Linked DNA regions of Rhinolophus ferrumequinum. The protein of the gene in region 1 binds, or shares a complex with, the protein of each later gene. Links are inferred from orthologs where the notes say so. Each region holds a gene or a part of one and is shown in the gene's direction. Other genes may lie near its edges.

Region 1 (7,097 bases):
TGTGTCGGTCAGTTAACAAATTACCCTGAAATATTTTTCTGGACCAAAGGCTGAATGTTGATGGATGGATATAAATATAGAACGTAAAACTTTCTGATGAAAAAAATTAATACATACTTATTATAGAAATCTTTGAAAAAACAAAGACTTAAAATGGAAGTTCTCATTTACTCCAAACATCTGCTAAGAGGTGAGGCACCAGGTTGTCAGGAACCAGGTTGACTGGCAAGTGGGTAGGAGAGGCGGGGCTGGGAGGGGGAAGAGGGTGTATTTAGCAGTTCCTGGGTGGGGCAGGTAGAAAGACAGATTTTCATCCTTGCTTTGTCGTATGGGGGAGCTTCAGCTCGGGGATCCTCAGGGCATGGGGCTGTGCTGGAGGGGAAGGGAAGGAGACAGCAGAATGTAGTGTACCCTCCCCCAGTCCTCAGGCCACTCACCAAAACACTGCGAGTAAAGCTCCCTGCGGACAGGGCATATGCCAGTCTCCCTGGCCTGCCGCTGTTGCAGCTTCAGGTCCAGCTGCTCCTGGAGATGTACGACATCCATCCTGGTGCTGGGGGTGCTGGACACCTGCTGGATCCATAGCTGCGTGTCTTCTACCCACTCCCTGTGGCACAGACACAGCCAGGCTGAGCGAAACCCATTGACCAGAGACGGTCCTCAGGACACGAGTGAGATGGCCGTTTGAGCTCTCTGCCTGAGCAGGAGTGAAGGGCAACTCTGTCCCCCTTTCTTCCTTGGGGAATGTGTGGCTCCAAAGCCATGTCCATTAAGCTGCCTCCACAGGTCCCCTACCTTGGGGCTGGGCAATCTCTACTCTCCCACTGTGAAATCATCACCCATGTTCCAGATCTTACCCTCCTAATGTGTAGAGGGCAAATTGGTGGTTGTTGCTTAATCTGAACAGAAGGCCCAGAAGGAACTGCCCCCTGATTTGTGGGGTGGGAGACACGGGGCACCATAAACCTTGTGCCAGTCAGAAAGAGGCCAACGTGTGGATTGGGGAATGGAGAAATTCTTGAAGGCATGTAGCCCTCCCTATACTAAACCTCGTGTCAAGAGGCATGGCCCCATTCTGGAATCCTAAGGGGGGAGCCCAAGGGCAGAACCACCATGGGGGAGAGGACTTTCATGCATTGCTTGCTGGGAAGTAATTTACTGAGAAATCACCCCCTCCCCCTTCTTTGACTTCTATCTCTGAGGAGATTGCAGTCTCTTTTCATCATAGACTTAAAAATCAAATAAACAAAAAAACAAAAAAAACTGTCAACTTATTACGTAAAAATAGTAGAAAAACATGTCAGATAGTGATAAATGAGGCTACAGAAAAAAGAAGCCGAGTAAAGAAGAAGAGAGAAGGTACTCTTTTATAAGAATTCTCAAGGAAGGCCTCCGTGAGGAAACGACATTTGAGCAAGACCTGAGTGAAGAAAGAAGGCAACCAGGTGGCTATCATGTGGAGAGTATCTTTGGCAGTGAGAAGAACAGCAGTTGTCAAGGCCCTGAGGTGGAAGAGTGAAGTGTTTCAGAGACACTGAGCCGAGGCCCCTGTGGCATTAGCACCGTGAACAGAAGGAGAATAAGAGATAAGATCATGGGTACATCAGGGGCCAGATCACGCGAGGTCTTCCAGGTCACGGTAAGGACTCTGGGTCTCAGTCTGAGTGAGATGGGGAGCCATTAAGGAGTTTCTGGCAGACGCCTGGCGTGATCTGCCTTATGATTTCGGGACTGTGCTAAGAATAGATTGTAGGGGCAGAGTGGAGCCGGGTTTTCAGATAGGAAGGCCTCTGCAGTAGTGCAGGTGACTAACAATGACTAGGAACAAGACGGTAGAAGTAGAAGTGGTGAAGTGGTCAGATTTGTGGAGCCAAAGGAACTTGATGAAGGATAGGACATTGTAATGTAAAAGACCGAAAGGAATGAGAGGTGACCTGAGCCTCTAGTAGAAAGGAGAAGACTGGGAATGAGCAGGTTGGGGGAAGAAGAAATTGTGATTACGTCTGGACACGTTGAGTTTGAGATATCTACTAGCATCTTCATGGAGGTAATGAGGTTGTAGTAGAATATATGGAGTTTAGGGGAGAGGGCAGAGCTGGAAATACACATTTGGGAGCCATCAGCATATAGATGGTAGTTAAAGCCACGAGCCTGAGTGAGAGCACTCAGGAAGTGAGGGCAGATTGAGATCTCCCCACCACCCTTCCAAGATCCAGCCACCTGCAAGCACCAGGAGCTCTAGGATGGTGGGAGGAAATTCCAACCAGGAACAGAGACAGGGTTCCTCTTTCCACAGTCCCATGTTCAGGGGTGGAAAAGCCTGGGCCTTCTCCCAGCCACTGTTCCTCCTTTTTTACCTTGGAGGCAGGATGGCATTCAAGATTTCTTCTGCTTGCTTTGTAGGATCTGGGATACAGGAAGTTGTGGGGAGCTTGGTCTTTGGTGGTTGTGGGACTGGACCTGAGGGTCCAGGTTGCTGGGGGCTGATTTTCAGTGGCCGAGCCTGAGAAGAAGGAACAAGTTAAGACAGGAGGTGATTCAGACACTGAGCTCCGCAGGTCCTGGCACTCTGGATTGCTCCAGGTCTCCAGCACACCCCTCCCCTATTCCCAGCTCATTTTCCCATTTGTCTTCTCAACAGAAGTTATGTCTCAGAGCTGCAGGAGGCGGTGTAGAGTCTCTGGTCTCACCCCAACCCAATGCTTGTATCTCCTTGAACAGATGTTTCTGGCACGGTGCTCGGGCCTCTGCTTTCACACCTCTAGTAATGGGGCAATCACTACCAGATCTATTCTTGGACCCGGCTACCATGAAAAAGAGTGAACCCCATTCATCTCCCTGTGACTTCCCCATTCTAAATCTGCCCTCTGGAGTCGCCCAACATTTGGGCTTCTTGTACCTCTCTCCCTCACCCATCCTTCACCCATCCCAGTTCCCTTCACTCCCAGTCGTTTCAGCCTCTGTCCCTCTGGACTCCCTATCCTGTAGGCTAGAATCTGTCATTTCCCCATCAGAGCTACCAGGCTCCCGCGTCCCCTGAGATTCGTCCTTACTTTGGGGCTCCGTTTCTCCGTGTTCCGGCTCACCAGCACCGGGGTGTCATACTTGAGCAGAGAGTCCGCGGGAGGGATCATGGCGGCAACTGGAGTAGTAAGCAGCCCAGCAGCGGCCCCTCCAGGCTGGGCCTTGTTTACCGTCACCATGGAAACCTCCTCTCCCAGTCTCACGGCCTGGGCGGGGCTTCGAAGTTGGGCGGGGCCAGCAGAGCTCCATTTTTTTTCTGCATGGCTTTCACGAAAAGTTCTGCGGTTAGCTCGTCAGGCCTCCTGCTCACCGAATCGCTCCGGCACTCTTGGGAGAAAGAAAAACAGGGGTTTCGGTTCCTGCGCCACGTGTAGCTCTCAACCTGAATGAGGTGGCAGGTCTCCTTTGCTGATCCCCAATTTTCTTACCTGCAAAGGTGGAAGTCATCTGACTTCTCAGTGAAGGATTGGGGAAGGTTCCCAGAAGACATCTGTAGTTCTCAGGTTTTAAAAAGTATTTGTTTCTAATTAAATGGAGAAATGACAACGTAACAGAAAGTTCAAAACTAGAGGGGAAAATACTAATGATTTGCCCACGGGCTACCATATATGATTTCATTTCCTTCGTATTTCCAAACGTAAATGTAAGCACAGTTTGCGCACAATTTTGTATCCCGCTTCTGTCGTTTAACAAGTCAGGGTTTTTTCCTTTTGTCATATAGAGTTTGTAAATAGCATTGTGAGTGGCAATATAACATCCATCAATTGGCTAAACAACTCCCTACTGATGGGCATTTAGGTGGTCACCGTGTTTAATAATTACTAATGATGCGACGACAAATAGCCTCGAGACTAGCTTTTTCCGAGAGGTTGGCTTTGGAAACAAAACTCCCGCCACCCGAGTCGCCTCACTACAGCCCCGCCCACAAGAGCGTCCTTGTCACGTGTTTGGCTTCTCCCTCGCGAGGGTTTCTGGGAGAGCGTACACCGCAGAAGCGGAAGTCCAGGCGTCTAGCCCGTCATTTCCTTTAGCGAGAGCAGTGCAACGGACGTAGTTTTTCCTACGCTCCTCGGATATCTCAGCATGAAGGACGTGAAGAGCGAGCGAGAGAGGGGGAACCGGCGAAAGCACCGGGACGAGGACATAGTGGCGGCGACGGCGGCGGTGGTGGTGAAGCAGGAGCGCCTCAGCCCGGAGGCCGCTCCTCCCGTCCACCGCCGTCCGGACTCCTCCGGCGGTAGTGCGTCCCCACCGGCCGGCGAGCCGGGACGTCCTGGTCACCGCGGGAACCGAGCCCGAGCACGTAGTCGGTAAGTGGGAAGCAGCCTGGAGTGGACCTTAGGTCGGGCTCGTTGAGAAAGGGGGACCGAGCTAGCGTCAGAAACACACCTTGAACGCTGAGCGCAGCGGCTTGCACTTAATTCTAAGGTGTGAAAGAGATCGGGGTGGTGCTTGTGTTACTGTTTACCTGTCAACCTGTGTTGTAGCTGGGTGTTAAGCACCCAATGGACGGGATCCTGCCCTTTCATCTCTGTGTGCTCAGCGCTTCGCCGAGTATGAGCCAGCGGATCGTTTAAGTTGAAATGAAAGGTTTTCCCCACCTGCCTGCACATGGAGTGCGAGTGTTGTCTTTACATTTAACCTGGCCCCAAAGATTTCCGTATGGAAGGCCTAGGAGATCTACCTGATAGAACTTCTGGGGGGAAAAAGTCTCTTGCTAGACTCCTTCATTTATTCATTCAACATAGTTTTACTGAGTACCTATTATGTGCCCTAGGTACTGGGGCCACAAGGGTGAACAAGGTAGATGGTCATTACCTTCTCAGAATTAACATGCTCTAGCCCTGAGACAAAATAACTAGCAAATGAAGAAAATAGTTTTAGTTAGTAACAAGTATTAGGGATAGATTAAAACAGTAATGCGATAGAGATTGGAGGGAAGTGGGAGAAGGCAGCTCTGAAAAGGTGCCATTTGCGCTGAGACCTGAGTAAGACTAATCCGTAATCCAGCCTTGGGAAGATCCAGGCAGAGAAGACAATAGGTGCCAAGAACCTGAAGTGGAATTAATTGTGATTGTTCTAGGAATAGAAAAAAATCCAGTGTAGCGATCAAGGAGAGTGGTTGGAATGAGGTGGGAGAGAGAGGAGACAGAGCCAGAGGACTTGTTGATGGATTGAATGTGATTGCAGGGACGGGTGTGGGAAGCTGTTGGTGGTGAGAAAAAAAAGAATCAAGGTTGACTTCTTGTTTTTGGCTTGAGTAGCGGGGTGGATGGTGATGCTATTTACTGAGATGGCAAAAAGGAAAGGTTTTTGAAGGGTTGGTAATCAAGAGTTATGTTACATATATACCGTGTTTCCCCGAAAATAAGATCTAGCCGGACAATCAACTCTAATGCATCTTTTGGAGCAAAAATTAATATAAGACCAGTCTTATTTTACTATAATATGAGACCAGGTATTATAATATAGTATAATTAATATAATAATATAATGTAATACCGGGTATATTAATTTTTGCTCCAAAAGACGCATTAGAGCTGATTGTCCAGCTAGGTCTTATTTTCAGGGAAACATGGTAAGTGAGAGGGTTTGGTAAGCGGTTATGTCTGTGGGTCTGGAACTTGGGAGAGGTTAGGGCTAGGAAAGTGAAGCTCCTAACTCCTACAGTGTGAAAAGCAGAGACCTTCAAAAATGTGGTATTTGTGTAGTAGTAAGCCTGATATCGGAAGGTAATTTATATGGGGAAGGGACATTGAGATAAAATCCTGTGTGTCTCATTCTCTTAAGATCCCCAGCCAAAAAGAAAAAGTCCTCAGGGAGAAGAAGCAAGTCTCCTCGAAGTAACAGAAGCCGAAGTCCTCACCACTCAACAGTCAAAGTGAAGCTGGTAAGTGGATTGAGCTATTGTGATACTGGGTCCAAATCTGGAGCCTCTTTCCGTCATAGCTGGAGTGTTGTGTGTGTGTTCACCTGTACCTGCAATGGGCTTTTCTCAAAACTGGGTGGGGGTTTTTCTGCTTGTCTTGTTAAACTTTTTATTTTGAAATAATTATTAATTCACATACAGCTGTAAAAGTAATAATGGCGTATAGTCTGTATCCTGTTTCTCCCAATGAGTATTGTACAGAATTAGAGTGCAATATCACAACCAGAATATTGACATCAACGCTGTCAAGATATAAAACATTTTCATCACCACCACAGGATCCTTTGTTGTCCTTTTACAGTCACACCCACTACTTTCCCACTTATACCCCTCAATTGGCAACTTCTGTTGTCCATTTCTATAATTTTGTCACATCAGATCTTACATATTTCTTAAGTGTATTCCTGGGTATGAAATGACTTTTGTTACTGTTGAAATAATTTAAAATTACTATTACATTTTCATTTTTGGCATAAGAGAAAGCTAGCTTGTTTTTCTTTACGTATTTATCTTGTACATGACTCTCTGTTAGCTCTCTCTTCTGTATATGCTCCCCTATAAGTTTGCCTGCAGGTGCTCTTGTTTCTAGGGCACTGAACATGGGCTTGCACTGTTAGAGCTATAGCTGGGCTTCAGCATGGGGTACACAGTGTGACCTTGGACAGGTACATCACCACCACTGATAACCTTATTTCTGGGCGACATTTTGCTCTTGAAGGCCAAAGCCCAAATCACATTCCTTTTGAATGCGGCTTGTTCATAGGCTGTGAACTGCCTTTGATTTCCTGAATGGGTTTGAATTTCAGGAACGGGAGGATCATCCTCCCCGGAGAGGACGGGAGGATCGGCAGCACCGGGAAGCATCAGGACAGGAACACAGGCGAGCCAGGAACAGTGACCGAGACAGGCACAGGGGCCATTCCCACCAGAGGCTAACGTCTAACGAGAGGCCTGGGAGTGGGCAGGCTCAGGGCCGGGACCGAAACCTTCAGAACCTACAGCCTCAGGAAGCAGAGCGGGAGTTTTATAACGCCCGACGGCGGGAGCATCGCCAGAAGAATGAAGTTACTGCCAGCAGTAATGAGTCTCAGGAGCTGGTTCCTCGAACTGGTGGCAACAACAAAGATAAAGAGGTGCCCGCGAA
Region 2 (7,364 bases), on another chromosome or scaffold:
GAATACAGTGTGATAAAGTAGAAAGAGTCCTAGATTTGGAGTCAAAAGTCCTAAGTTACTATGTCAGGTGTAACTGTGGGAGCCGAGGTCACCAGAGCGAAAGTGCCCACCCCACCCCAGATGCTTTCTACGGCGTTTCATCAGAGGCAGTGACAGTGTCTCTGTTTCACATGAAGAAAATCTTAAAAGTAGAGATGTTAAATAAGGAAATAGGAAATGCGCCTGAAATATCAAAAAGGAGAATTCTTCCAACTCACTGGAAAAGGAGAAAACCAACTTTATTAAACAGAAAAAATACTTCAATGATTCGTTTGGTCAAAATGTAGTAACCAGCTCCATAAATGTCATAAAATATGTTCAGTTAAATTTAGTAAACTTTGCAGAGTGATGTTCTGAGTTCATTTTTATGTCAAAAGTTTTTCACTTGAACCACAGCGCCCTGGGCACTCAGGTAGAGAAGGGACAGACTAGAGAAAGGAGCCCCTATTCCAGGAATTTAATCTAATCAGCAAATGACTGACTACTTGCTGTTGCCCAAACCTTCAGGTGAAATCATAGGTTGCAATGCCTTAGGACTGGCCAGGTCCCAGCCTGGGTTATTTCTAGCTAACACAAAAGAAATGACAATCTGTACCTCTCTGGTCATTTCTGGAAGACAATTCAGTATGCATATGAATCCTTTCCCCCATTTCATCAATCATAGCAAGTCCTGAGCCTGGAGTACAGAAAAAGTAACTAAGTTAAAGGAGTTGTTCTCAACTGGGGGTGATTTTGTCCCCCAGGAGACATATGGCAATGTCTGGAGACATTTTTGGTAGCCACAACTGGGAGGAGGGGTGCTACTGGCATCTAGTAGGTAGAGACCAAGGACACTGCTAAACATCTTCCAGTACCCAGGACAGGCCCCCACAACAAAACATTACCCAGCCTAAAATGTTAAGAAATCCTGAGTTAAAGCACCAACTGGGTATCCAGTCCTGAAACGAGGACTTGGATAAACAAAAGACAATACTTGAAACACAGAAAAGAGCTTAACAAATGAGATGCGTCACATAAACACAGCAGTGAAGTTTTGAAAGTTTTGAAAAGGAGACAAATGTAGGCAACAGAGAATTTGAAAGCTATCTGGAGGAGGTAGGATTATGTTCAGTTTTTAAAGGCGTGGAATGAGGAAAATGTAGGGAAGAACAATAGCATTGAGTAAAAATACAGAAGTGGGAAGTAGCTGGGTTATGAATGAAATAATGAGAAGCCTAGTCTGGATGCCGCAGAGTGACTTATAGACAAGAAGGCAAATTCACTGCATGGAAATGGTACCGCCTAGGAGTCCCAGTCTCCTTCGGTGTAAAAGTACAGAAATGACCTACAGGCATACCTCGTTTTATTGTGCTTAGCTTTATTGTGCTTCACAGATGTTGCATTTTTACAAATAGAAGGCAAGACCCTCCATCCACAAAAAAGATTATAACTCGCTCTTTGGTGAGACTCATTTTATGGCTACACTCGCTTTAGGGCAGTGGGCTGGAACCAAACCCGTAACACCTCCGAGGTATGCCTGGAGATAGACACCTAAGGTCCATTTCACCATCAACATTCTATGATTCTAGAACAGTGGGTCTCAGCACATTTGTGCATCTAAGTAGCCTGGAGTTATTTTAAAAGTTACAGATGTCTACTCCCCAATTTCTGTTTCAGTAGATCTTGGGAAGGACAAGAACACCTGTATTTTTTAAAGCTTCAGGGTAAGTCTGACACAGGCCACAAAACCACCCTCATCCCCTCCCTTACAGTATTATCTGTATTATGCATTCAATGCTTCAGCCCAAATAAAATAATTCAACCTATTAACTCCCAACTCATGACTTTCTGCTTTAATAATAACATATGCCCTCAAACCCAATAATTCTGGGAACCCACCCCAAATAACCAGAAATGAAAATAATGTTTTATAAACAAAGATGTGCTCTTTTTTATTAAAATATAATTATTGTTATCACTTTTAATGTCTAAAAATTAATACAATATAAATGTCCAATCATAGTGAAAAATTATGGCAAATTTATGATAGAATACTAATTAAACACGAAAAATGATGACCTTTAAACAAAATAAAACACTCATAATAATACTATACGAAAATAGCAGGACACAAAACTATATGTGTGTGTAGGACTTCATTTGTGTTAAAAACAATTAAAGATTCGAAACAAAACTGGAAGATTTGATCCAAACTGTTAACATTAGTTATCTCCAGATTTGGGGATTAATGGTAACTTTAATTTTCTGGGTTATAATTTTCCATGCCTCCTAAATTTTCTATAAAACACATATATTACTTTTATAATCGGGGAGAAAAGTTGTCCTGTTCTGCTGATATAAGTTAAACAGAAACAACAATTCGTTCCAAGGCCGAAGAGATTTAAATTTCAAAAAGATATCCATGAATTAATTCTTATGAATATTTATTGAAAGCTCAAAGTTTAAAATAAAGACAAGACTGCTAAATTCTTAAACACTGATGAATTGAACATAGCATCTACATCTTAGGGCCACATTATTAGTTACTATAAGCAGTATTCCTACACACTCATTAGGTGGGGATTTGAAAGCAGCTGAAAAACTCCACCAAATCTCACTGAGAGCACAGGGCAGGGCCTGCCTAGACTTAGTGATGAACTCTTCTCCAGCCATGAAAGAAGCTCGTAGGGACCAAAAGATTGTCTGCTAAAAGAAATAATGGAAGGATCTGCTGAATTTGGTAAGCTTTGAAAGATAGTGGAGGGAAATAATCTAGAAAAATAGTTACTGAGAAGCAGCTAAAGTGTAAAGGTGCGATACTTGAAATTATTGCAAACTCTCTAAGTATTTCCTGCTTGGATTAGCCAGTGGTGAGTACCACACGTCCAGGATTTTCCAGGATTTCAAATACAGGCACACCTCGTTTTATTGTGCTTCCCTTTATTGCTCTTCACAGATGGTGCGTTCTTTACAAATTGAAAGCAAGACCCTCTATCAGCAAAAAGATTACCAGTGGCTTTATTGCCATACTCATTTTCTTGCAGTGGTATTGAACCGAACCCACAGTATCTCCAAGGTGTGCCTGTATTCTAGCCTTTTGCCTCCCTAAGCACACTCAAACTCCTAGACCAGGTGCCTCTATTTTTAATTATGAAAGGAGGGATGTCATATCTCAGGCAACTGTTAAAGCCATGAACCACAATACTAAATCTAGAAGGGCTAATGACAACAGAGGTTCAAGAATCCTAACTACAGATATCCAAGTATGCACAATCCACTGCACGTTCCTGGCACACCTTGGAGGTGCTCCCAGCGTCCGCCCGTGACTGCAGAGAAGAACCTTTAACCTATCCCGCTGGTGGGACACGGGCTCAGTCCCTGTTAACGCACAGGGACTCCGCAAACCAAGTCTGCTCCTTCTGCTGGAGGCCGGGACCACAGCCGCTCAGGGACCTGGAAATCGCCGTCGGGAAGAACATTCTTAAAAAACAAAAATAACAACAAAAGCCCTTCTGAAGGGTTTTCTAACCTGGAATGAGGAATATCTGAATGTAGAGGTAGAATACTAAGATGTTTGAAAGCTCAGTTTCACCGAATGAAAAGCCCAGGGATAAGGCCAGTTAACTAAAAGGCCCGGGCTGCACTAGACGTGGTGTGGAGTGCACAGACTGCCCTGACCGGCCCTGACCTCGAAGGGCCCTCAGTTTGGCCACTACACCGCTCGGCGGCACCGGGAAAGCAACCCGTACCCGGTCGTCGGATGAGGCCTTGAGCGGCTGCCGCGTCCCTGGAAGGCCTCGGTCGGGTCCGACCCCAGACTACACACCAGGTGTCCCGAGTCCGGGCTGGGAGACCCTGTCGGAGCCAGCGCTTTACCTGCAGCAGGTGCAGCTGGGACACGAGGCGCCGTGGCAAGTGCAGGAAGCAGTCACGAGCGTTGGTGAAGGCCACAGTCACTGCCGCCCCACCTCCCCCGGCACCCGCCAGGCGTTCGCTGCCCCACATTGTCGGGCAACACCGATCCCCCGACCGCCAACCCTAGCGGACCCGGCCAACCCGGCAGGCCCAGAGCGTCCGACCCGGATAAAATCGATCGGTCCCTCCCCCCTCGTCCCCTGGCCCCTTGCCCAGCGGCGCGTCTCACCGCTCACGAGTAGGGGGAGGAGCAAGCAGCCTTCTCCCGCTCTCTGGGCCTATCCGCCGCGCCGCTGGGGGGCGGCACCTCGTTCACCGAATCATCGCTTGCAGGAAACAATGGTCAATTCCTCAGCCAATCCCGGCACGTCTTGACTCATCCCTCTCTCTTATTGGACAAACAGAAGGGCAGCCAGGCGGATGTTGTCGTCTCTGTGAGGGCCAAAGTCGGCAAGATGGCGTCGAGTGGTGGGGAGCTGGGGACCTTATTCGACCACCACGTCCAAAAGGCTATATGCGACACGCGGGCCAAATATCGGGAGGGGCGACGGCCTCGTGCTGTCAAGGTAAAATGATTTTGGTTTCATTCGGCAAGTTCAGTCGTTTTATGTGAGCTCTAGTTTCACATGCCCAGCCTACGTAAATAAAGGCTTGAAAGACTGAGGTTGTATCCCTTACTCATCGGAGATGGGTGTTAGGAAGCCTGGTACTCAGGTACCACAAGATTCCACGACCTCTTCGGTCGGCTGCTAGAACGTCAGCTCTGCGAAACAGGGCTTTGTTTTAGTCATTGGGTCTTCCGTGTTTATGATAGTGCTTGGCTCACGGTAAGCTCTCAATGAATATTTGTTAACTCCAGTAACTTTTACCGAGCCAGCTTCTGGAAAACATGTCAGTTAAGGTAGTCTGTTTTAGGTTTTAATTAGAGGCCCTCACACGTGGGGTGAATTTTTCGTTATGCAGAGAGAGGTGCACATTTTTTGATGTTCTGTGTTCTGCAGACCAGTGGAACAGAATATTTCTTGCTTTTAAAGCTTTTATTTTTTAAGTAGATTTGTCCTAGGTTTATTTATGAAATACGTTTAATGTGTCTGCATTTCTTTTAGGTATATACAATTAATTTGGAATCTCGGTACTTATTAATACAAGGAGTTCCTGCAGTGGGAGCAATGAAGGAATTAGTTGAGCGATTTGCTCTGTATGGAGCAATTGAACAGTATAATGCTCTAGATGAATACCCAGCAGAAGACTTTACAGAAGTTTACCTTATTAAATTTGTGAATTTACAAAGTGCAAGGTAATATGCAAGTTAAGCAGTGTCTTATCTTTTTCATTCCCGTTGCTATTATTTTGTACCCAGTTGTCTGCCATTCATACCTGAATTACCCAATAACAACATAGTCCTGTATTATTCTTGTCTTCTTCCAGTGTTTTTAAATGTTAGCCTTACCAAAACACATTCCATCATATCATTCCCGTGCTTAACAGTTTTCTGTCATACAGTGTTGTAAATTAAAAATTGACTTTGGAGTAAGTTTTCAAGTTCTACAGCTTACTAGCATCACGACCTAGGACAAGTTATTTAACCCTGTTAAGCCTGTTTTTCCTATTCTGTAAAATCCATATGGTAGAAGGACCTACTTAAGTGAGGTTGTGTGAGGATGAAGTGAGATAATCCATATAAAGGACTTAGTGTGGTGCCTCCTGTTCAGAATGCAGTAAACATTGATTATTGAAGTTCTTATTATGCACCTGCGTAAATTGACGCCATCTTTTCCACTTTCTATACAACAATTCTGTTCCAATAAGGCTGAAATACGAAAGGCTTTATCTACTTTTATGCTGACCCTTACTAATTTGCTCCATGACCCATCCTTCCCTGGCTATTACAATTCATATTTTGTGTGCCACGAATAGCACATGTAGTCTACCATTAAAGCACTTGATTTTATGGGGTCATGTATTGTTCTCAGGTTGCTCTTCTATGTAATATCACTTCCCTATCCAACTTGCCAGCTCCTCATGGTGAGGGGAGCATATTTTCTAGAGCTTTTGCATTTTTTACAGCACCTAGTACAGTAGGGCTTGGCGTTTGACATCTGGATTTGCATCCTAGCTCCACAAACCAACGTGAGCATGGCTCAGTTATAAATGTCCCCAGGCCTCATTTTCATCATAGAGTTGTTGTGAAGTGTTAATTCAAGTGAAGTGCTTAGGACACTGCCTAGTACTTAGTAAAACCTCATATAATGATAAGTAGTTCTTATCATTATACCTGGTCTCAGAAGTACTTAACTATTTATTGTAGTAATGCCTGACCGGTCATAGATATTTAAGTATTTATTGAATGAATACTGTCTTCTCATTTTCTCATTGAATAGTTGTTATATATTCAGTATTGCCTCAATTATTGTAGGTTTTACAATTATTAATTTTTTCATATATGAATCCCATTATAGGAACACATTGTGCTGAAAAGGCTACATTGGGTATGAACTAACTCTCAAGGGCCATTTAACTTACCATAGAGAAAATCTCTATTTCGTGACCCCAGATTGTACACCTTAGGCTACCCAGCTGGATCCTAAGTTGGTTAAAGGGAGTCTGTATATGTGTGGATCACTTAGCTCAAAACCTATTAATACAGTTTGGAGAGGGGAGTCAATGTTCTAACAGAATGCACTGGATCAGTAAGGTCGATAGCATTCACAAGCACAGCATCTTAATTCCCAAACCACAGGATGTACATGCACATAGCAAAAGCTGGACTTTGCTCTATAGATCAATGCATTGTATACTAGTCAAGCTTTCGTCCTAAGTAAATCTAGATTGATAAACCATGCTATCATGTATTTCTGTTCAGGACAGCCAAGAGAAAAATGGATGAACAGAGTTTCTTTGGTGGATTGCTTCATGTGTGCTATGCTCCAGAATTTGAGACAGTTGAAGAAACTAGAAAAAAATTACAAGAGAGGAAGGCTTATATAGCAAGAATTACTAAAAATAAAGGTATGGAAAGCCTGTTACTAAACACAACTATGTGTCATTCATTCTGCTAGGTATATCATCATGGAGCTCCCAGTCTCGTGGAAAGGGAGACAAGTAAATGATCACAATATTCAATAACTATAAACTATAGGGTTCTGTGTAGCACTCTTTCTGGACTGAGAAGGGAGAGATGCTGGTTTGCGGAAAACTTCCTACAGGATGAGAGAGGTTTACCCAGATAGCATCTTTAAGGATAAGTAGACGTTACCCAGATAGCATCTTTAAGGATAAGTAGACGTTACCCAGATAGCATCTTTAAAGGCTCAGAGGAATAAATGAGCATCATGTATTTTAAGGAACTGTGACTAGAACAGGGTAACCACAAAACAGAGACTTCAGAGATAAGATTAAGAAAAGACAGGAAGTGAATCATGAAGGGCCTG

Evidence for each region. Proteins that work in one complex are often made in the same cells at the same time.
Region 2: SNIP1 (region 1) and RBM48 share a complex: the UniProt entries of both Homo sapiens proteins name them as parts of the minor spliceosome. The link is inferred for Rhinolophus ferrumequinum from reciprocal best matches to the Homo sapiens genes SNIP1 and RBM48.

The regions. Positions count from the first base shown.
Region 1 is NC_046292.1:26,222,915-26,230,011, reverse strand, and holds the start of SNIP1 (smad nuclear-interacting protein 1), read left to right. Parts: upstream 1-4,023; 5' UTR 4,024-4,107; coding exon 4,108-4,334; intron 4,335-5,814; coding exon 5,815-5,914; intron 5,915-6,759; coding exon 6,760-7,097. Other genes in the region: DNALI1 (axonemal dynein light intermediate polypeptide 1), read right to left, coding at 438-607, 2,358-2,503, 3,054-3,134. UniProt on the Homo sapiens protein: Required for pre-mRNA splicing as component of the spliceosome. As a component of the minor spliceosome, involved in the splicing of U12-type introns in pre-mRNAs. Down-regulates NF-kappa-B signaling by competing with RELA for CREBBP/EP300 binding.
Region 2 is NC_046303.1:33,699,894-33,707,257, reverse strand, and holds the start of RBM48 (RNA-binding protein 48), read left to right. Parts: upstream 1-4,350; 5' UTR 4,351-4,388; coding exon 4,389-4,499; intron 4,500-5,039; coding exon 5,040-5,230; intron 5,231-6,796; coding exon 6,797-6,936; coding exon of another isoform or gene 6,937-6,942; intron 6,943-7,364. Other genes in the region: peroxisomal ATPase PEX1, read right to left, coding at 3,895-4,023. UniProt on the Homo sapiens protein: As a component of the minor spliceosome, involved in the splicing of U12-type introns in pre-mRNAs.